Linked DNA regions of Xenopus tropicalis. The protein of the gene in region 1 purifies or fractionates together with the protein of each later gene. This does not show direct contact. Links are inferred from orthologs where the notes say so. Each region holds a gene or a part of one and is shown in the gene's direction. Other genes may lie near its edges.

Region 1 (3,758 bases):
AGAGTAAAAAGCCAAACTTGTTAGTACTGTGAATTTAATTTCTGTGCTTAACCCTCTTTTTCCACTAAAACTGACTGCCCTAAGCTGACCAACAAACAAGGCTGACCCCCACAGACATGTGCATGGATTTTTCAGTCAAACTATAGAAAAATTGTATGAAATTTAGAGAAGATTTGATCCTAAATTTAATTTCTGTTAAGCACAGAAATTAAATTCACAGTACTAACACGTTTGGCTTTTTACTCTACTGTGCATGAGCAAGCAGTGAAGACAGAAAAAGGAAGAGGATCACTTGCTCTCTGGTACCCTGGGTCGATGCAGGTTTTCGCTAACAAGAGCACCAACTTGGGGTTTCAGGTAAGTGATTACAATCACTGGGGGGTGCCTAAAATGTTGGCATCTCCCACTGATTGTACCTTTCATTCTTCTTTAAAAGCAAGCATCTGGTCGGTTGCTATGACTACTAGACCTACCATAGATCAACTGATCTGATAGCTTCAAATTACATAGCCACTCCTAAACCAACCCCCAAAAAATCAGTGATTACTTAAAAACTTAAAAGTTTACTAGTAATTTTAACAGTAACGGAGACAGTATTGAGATTTTATATTCTGCACCAACATAGGAAGGCAGCATTATATACAGCTAAAAGTATAAAGTTACTCCATGCCTGGTGATTGAAAAACCTTATTTTTAAGAAATTACAAAAAAGACAAAAACAGTTGCGACCCAAAATAACTGTACATTGTCTGAATTACATTGATAATGATCAATTGTTTTTAGAGCAAAACATCAGGTAAAAGTAAAGTGCAGAATGTTCTATGCGTTTTTGGTTGCAAGTTTCATTTCAGACCAGTGTATGGTTTATTTCACATGCATGGGCAGAGCAATGAGCTGTACAGAGCACTGCGTGAAGTAGTTAAAGTGTGCAGGGGCGTGCTTAGGCAGTGGCTGTGGTATGGAGGAGACGGAAGCTTGAGAGCACTGGCATTGTACCGAGATGACAGGGTTCTGATACACATGTCACTGGCTACTGCTGCTTCAGAGTCAAGGTACTTTTCATTTCATCTCACTTCTTTCAACTCTTCCAGATAGGAACAAAAGTACCATTTAAAATCATCTAATTATCAACTTGTTTTACATGTTGTTGATATCTACTGGAGGCTAGAGTCAGACTCCCTTTTTTCTGATAGTGTTACTATGCAAGTACTTGTGCTTTTTCTGCTGTTATCTACATTTTAATAGGCTCAGCACTCACCCATATACAGATTGCTAGTGTTTTCAACATATGTGCAGTGAAAAAAATGATAAATGCAGGCTTTATTGCACATTGAGTGCTCTCCTAGCCAGCTCTGAGGGTATAACATACAAAAGTTGTATCAAGTTTTAAAACCATTCTGTAGTGTTGCTTGTGGATAGTTTCCCAACATAATGTGTATGTGTATATTGTCATCAGACAATGACCCACTGATAAGGTACCAGTTTTTGTCTGCACAGTTTATCTACATGTGTATTTTAAAGGAAGGGCAAGCTAATGAGTATATTGCACCTCTACACTGTTTCATGGTTTCTTTTAGTTATTGTCCCTCTACACTGTTTCATGTTTTGTTTTAGTTTTTGTCCCTAAAGCCAATGTCAATGAATTCTTATGTATGGTGATGACTTTAAGAAAAAAATTAAACACATCAGAAAGCAAGGAAGACATTATATTTTTAATACTATGGCTTATATTAGGCATTTGTGTTGCATGAAGCTAATTGGTGTTTGCTGTGCTTTATTTCTTAATATGGTGCTTTATTTCTTACATATGGTGTGCAATGTATTTATTGTTTTGAACTGGCAGGTATTGTGCAGTTATGTGGGAATTGTCTAGGATTAGTAGGTCTGAAAATTTTTGACTGAAAAAAGTACTGTACACACAACTGTCCATACATTTAGATGTTGGCTGCCTCTCCAAAATTATATGATAACTGATTAACCTTTTGGGAATTACGTTACATGATTATGTTGATTTACTACAGTGGACATTTTTTGAATACCCAGAATTAAGTCCAAAGAGATGTGCCTTTTTCTGTATGCCTTATTACCTGTATTTGGGTACCCCTGGTACATCCCAAAGCTTGCACATCATTCAGAACTAGGAGTGTCAGGGGAACCAAGACATTAGGGTGACTTCTCCTTACCACAGGCTTATGGCAGGTTTTACACACAGGACTCTCTTGCAGGGCCGGAACTAGGGGTAGGCAGAAGAGGCAGCTGCCTAGGGCGCAACGATTGAGGGGCGCCAGGCAGGAGCTACTTTGTGCTACTTTGTCATTGCCTCCACCGCTTGTCATTAGCGGCGGAGGCAATGACCGATCTAATCGCAGGGAGGTGGGCGGAGTTGGCCGACCGGGTTGCCTAGGGCGCCCGGTCGGCTTGGCACGCCTCTGCTCTCTTGCACCTGTCAGCACTTTGTTCTCCAAGCTGCATAGGGCTAGGGGCTAGCACTTTGTATATAGAGCTCTGAGAGTGACAAATGAATGGCCCTTACTGCTTTTAAACTTGCACCTGGCTCTTAATAAATAAGCCCTCACTGTCTCTATTGGTAATTCACTCTAGATGAATACCATTTGAACAAATCAAGGCAAAATATTACGCAGAAAACAATGTTGCACAGAATTACTTTCCTACCAGTAATTAGAAAAATTTGTAAAACTTTTATTTGCACCTTGCTGTTTGTATTGATGGGACTTGATTAAAATAATGAAAAAATAGCCCCATACACAGATGCAGAACTGTTAATAACACCAATTAGATGAAGGAATTGATACATCTTAATGAAAACAATGGGAAACCAGGCCTCAAATCAAACGTAAATAGTTCCCTGTTTCAATAGCGTATAATCATCTTTGTAAGCCTGATCCAGCTTCCTACCATTTAAAGGGACAGTATACACCTAAAAATGCCTTTGCTAAAAATGAGCACATTAAAGGGGACCTTTTTGCCTATTGTTTAAATTTTAAAATATCAATATTTTTGCCATTATAAAGCACTAATTTGAAAGTTGGGCTATTTTCACTGAACTCCCCTCCCCATCTTTTATAAACAGGGCAATTTGTTCAAAGCTCTCAATCTATAAATCCCATACCTTCTCTAAGCAGCAGCCTTTGAGCAGCTAATTATTTTAGTTTTATCAGCTCCTGAAGTTCTTTGGGACCAGAAGTGGCAGGCGTGAAACTGGCTTCATATTCTTGTTTTGTGCCAGAAATAACAAAAACCATAGATATTTCTTAATTAAAACAATAGACAAAATGTTTATTCTATTAATTTGGCTAATGTTAAAAAGGGGTATGACTTTTTAAGTATATCTCCAAAAATCACCTTTTTAGAAAATCTTATCCAACCTCCAATGGAAAAAATCTTTAAATCCACCCAAACATCTGCTGATAAACTTGAATGGGGGGGGCAATTTCTAGCATTTCATCACCTCCATCACCTCCTCATGGAGCTACAAATTGCCATGGTGAGAAATCACTTATAATTGCCCCATGTGCCATTGTCCTTTTCAACAATTACAGCCTTCCAAATACCTACTGCTGACCATTGTTGTGGATAACTGATATCAGTCTGCATATTCAGGCCTTTCCCTCTGTAGCAATAAATGCCAGTTTCCATTACTACTGCAGCTGTGCACACCTGTATATAAAACTGGTTTTTCAAAAAAAAAAGTTACACTTAAGCTTTTTACATTATTTACTGTATGGGACAAGGTTAAA
Region 2 (3,658 bases), on another chromosome or scaffold:
AAAACACTTTCGGGCCAGACCGGAACTAGGTGCATACAATGGGGCGAATCCCTGCCTGCAAATATATATTTTTAAATCAGTGGCCCAAAGTCATTTAACTCTTTAAATCATTAGACACTAATGCCACTTTGGGGCCACTTTTCCTGCCCAGAACTATTTTGGGCCAGGCTGGAACAAGCTGTACATTATGTACGGAACCCTGTCTATGAATGTATACTTTTAAAACTGTCGCCCAAGGTCATTTCTTTTAAACACTAGTTACTTATTCACTGACTGAATTAGAAACCAACTTCAAGGCACAAATAAGAAACTGGCAGAATAAGAAACCAAATTCAACGCTGTCCAGTCTCGGACTGGCCCACCTGGATACCAGGAAAACTCCCAGTGGGCCCAGGCTTTCAATGGGCCCTCCTGCTCACTCAACCATTTGCCTTGTATGCCTATACCATGGCCATTACTCAATTCTATATGAGAAGAAACAAAAGAAATAGAGGAAAGGATAGATAATACTATGTAAAAAGATGTATTTAAGAAATTAAAGAAAGTGAGTAAACAGTGAAGGAAAAGGGGTCTGGAGAGTGGGCCTTAGGTCTAAAGGTTTTCAGATAGGCCCTTGGCACCCCAGTCCAACACTGACTGTCCCTTACTTATAGATCAGGCTGGAGTTATTTCCTATTACCACTAAAATCTCTATTGTTTTCTGTAAATTGGTTACATTGCAACTTCTGCATACATATCCTTATGCAATAACCTAGGAATGAGACACAAACAAAACTATTTTATTACAACTTCAGTTAATGTAAGGAGGCCATAGATGCTACAATTACAATCTTTCCCACTACTGTTGGTCTTTTTCTCCAATTGGGAAGTGCAATATCCTGTCTCTTAAAGAGTAGGCCCCCTTATGTAGGGAAATGTTAACCACTTGGATGAATGTACTGTAAATCTGGAGTATGGAACTTGGGTGGTTGCAGACTTTTTTTAATTCTGTTGTTGTGACAGGTGACCAGAAGCATCTGCAAAACTGAAGAGAAAGGAAGAACGCTGTGGTTATGGAGAAGCCCCCAGTCCAACATGGAGCTGTTTGTGGGCCATGGGACATGAAAGACCGCCTAGGAACAGGAGGTTTTGGAAATGTTTGCTTGTACCAGAATCGGGTGCGTAAGAAGGAAGCTTGATAAATGCATGGGGGCAAGCATTAAATATAATTTTTCTATACAGGTATTAAAAATCCGTTATCCTGAAACCTGTTATCCAGGAAGCTCTGAATTACAGAAAGGCCATCTCCCATAGATTCTATTATAATAAAATAATGAAAATTTTTAAAAATGATTTCCCTTATCTCTGTAATTATAAAACAGTACATTGTATTTGATCCCAACTAATATAGAATTAAAATTATTATTAGTAGATGTAAAGCAATACTGTCATAGGAAAACATTTTTTTTCAAAACACATCAGTTAATAGAGCTTCTCCAGCAGAATCCTGCATTGTAATCTTTTTTCAAAAACACAAACAGATTTTTTAATATTTAATTTTCACATGGGGCTAGCCATATTCTTCATTTCCCGGGGTGCCATAGCCATGTGACCTGTGCTCTGATAAACTCCCCCCCCCCCTTCCCCACCAGCAGCCAATTGGCTACCTGTCACCTAGATATCAATAGTAAGAAATCCAAGTCCGGCTTGGGACTTCTCCTGTTACATGGGAGTAGGAGAGACAATAGGTTACCTGAAATGTGTAGCGCTGGCTCCTTCTGAAAGCTCAAACTCAGGCCTACACACCAATATTACAATTAAGAAAAAATAACATTTGTTGGGTCAAAAATAAAAATTTTTATTATTTGCTACGTAAACAGTGTAATTTAGAAGTAAGTACAATAAGTACAGAAAATCATGACAGAATATCACAACTAAAATTTACATTTATTATTTAAGAATAAAATTTTAAATGGTAGAATGAATGATTGAAGATGAAGGAAAACTGCACAAGTGCTTAGAATAGCACTCTCATCAATTTTACATTCACTTACTTTAAACGATTACCTATCCTTTAAGATTAAGCTGTAGTGCATACAAGTATTTAGACAGAGGATCTGGGGCAAAAAAAATGCAATAATAAATACAATTTGTGGAAATAAATGTGAGAAAATGCACTTATTGTTTTTCCTACCTCTGCAGGAAACAGGAGAGCTGAAAGCCATCAAATCCTGTAGGTTGGAACTGAGTATGAAAAACAAAGAGAGATGGTGTCAAGAAATTCAGATTATGAAGAGGTTTGTTTTTAAGCACATTTTCTTCCATGTTTATATTTTACTGACGTAATTCAAGGGATATTGGGCCTGATTCACTAAAGTCCGAAATAAGGAGTGCTATTTATAGCATGCGTTAAAAATCTTATCACTTTTTCGCTCGATTCACTAAAAGGACACTTGTCATAATTAAGAAGCGATGTTCTTGGCGTTATTTATCTTACGATGACATATTTTAATGAAAAAAACTATGCGATAAGCGTTATAGGGGCCGATTCACTAAAGGTCAATAACGCTTATCGCATAGTTTTTTTTATTAAAAAGCATGCGATAATTAAGTACCGATTCATCAAAGTCATTTCGCATGTGTTAATCCGCATATCGCATGCACAAAAAAAACGCATTGCGTTAATTAGCGAATAGAAATAGTACTAACGCATGATTCACAAACACATATAGGGCCCGATTCACTAAAGTCCGAAATAAGGAGTGCTATTTATAGCATGTGTTAAAAATCTTATCACTTCTTATTTTTCACTCGATTCACTAAAAGGACACTTGTCATAATTAAGAAGCGATGTTCTTGGCGTTATTTATCTTACGATGACATATTTTCAAGAAATATATTACGCAGTGCACAAGATATTACGCAGCGCGCGATATTTTACGCAGAGCGCAATATATTACGCACGTAACCATTACTTTCTGAAAACCACCAATTCCCTGAAAACTGGAGGCTGCATCACTCTAGGGCCAACATATACTTGAAAAAATACGACTGCAAACTCCATGTTGTGTTGCCAATAGCTCACGAACCGCAATTTTCTTTAAGTACCGCCTGCCCCAAGTAGGGTTAATATTCACACAGATTAACACAATATTTTGCACGTTTAACGCTTCATATGTGTTTGTGAATCATGCGTTAGTACTATTTCTATTCGCTAATTAACGCAATGCGGTTTTTTTGTGCATGCGATATGCGGATTAACACATGCGAAATGACTTTGATGAATCGGTACTTAATTATCGCATGCTTTTTAATGAAAAAACTATGCGATAAGCGTTATTGACCTTTAGTGAATCGGCCCCTATAACGCTTATCGCATAGTTTTTTTCATTAAAATATGTCATCATAAGATAAATAACGCCAAGAACATCACTTCTTAATTATCACAAGTGTCCTTTTAGTGAATCGAGCGAAAAATAAGAAGTGATAAGATTTTTAACGCATGCTATAAATAGCACTCCTTATTTCGGACTTTAGTGAATCGGGCCCATTATGTTTGTTTATGTCCTACAGTAGTAATTTAGTAAATTTAAGGCCCCCTGTATACCCCATTAATTTCCCCACTGAGACTGAGAGCAGAAGTACAATGTGGGAGCTTGACACAGTTTGATTTTAGAAG

What was found. Proteins that work in one complex are often made in the same cells at the same time.
Region 2: the proteins of prkcq (region 1) and chuk purify together in Homo sapiens (affinity purification with western blotting, with the first as the bait; 3 studies listed by BioGRID). This does not show direct contact. The link is inferred for Xenopus tropicalis from reciprocal best matches to the Homo sapiens genes PRKCQ and CHUK.

Annotation. Positions count from the first base shown.
Region 1 is NC_030679.2:84,173,460-84,177,217, forward strand, and holds the start of prkcq (protein kinase C theta type), read left to right. Parts: upstream 1-971; 5' UTR 972-1,052; intron 1,053-3,758. UniProt on the Homo sapiens protein: Calcium-independent, phospholipid- and diacylglycerol (DAG)-dependent serine/threonine-protein kinase that mediates non-redundant functions in T-cell receptor (TCR) signaling, including T-cells activation, proliferation, differentiation and survival, by mediating activation of multiple transcription factors such as NF-kappa-B, JUN, NFATC1 and NFATC2.
Region 2 is NC_030683.2:110,586,174-110,589,831, reverse strand, and holds part of chuk (inhibitor of nuclear factor kappa-B kinase subunit alpha), read left to right. Parts: intron 1-1,002; 5' UTR 1,003-1,052; coding exon 1,053-1,157; intron 1,158-2,181; coding exon 2,182-2,276; intron 2,277-3,658.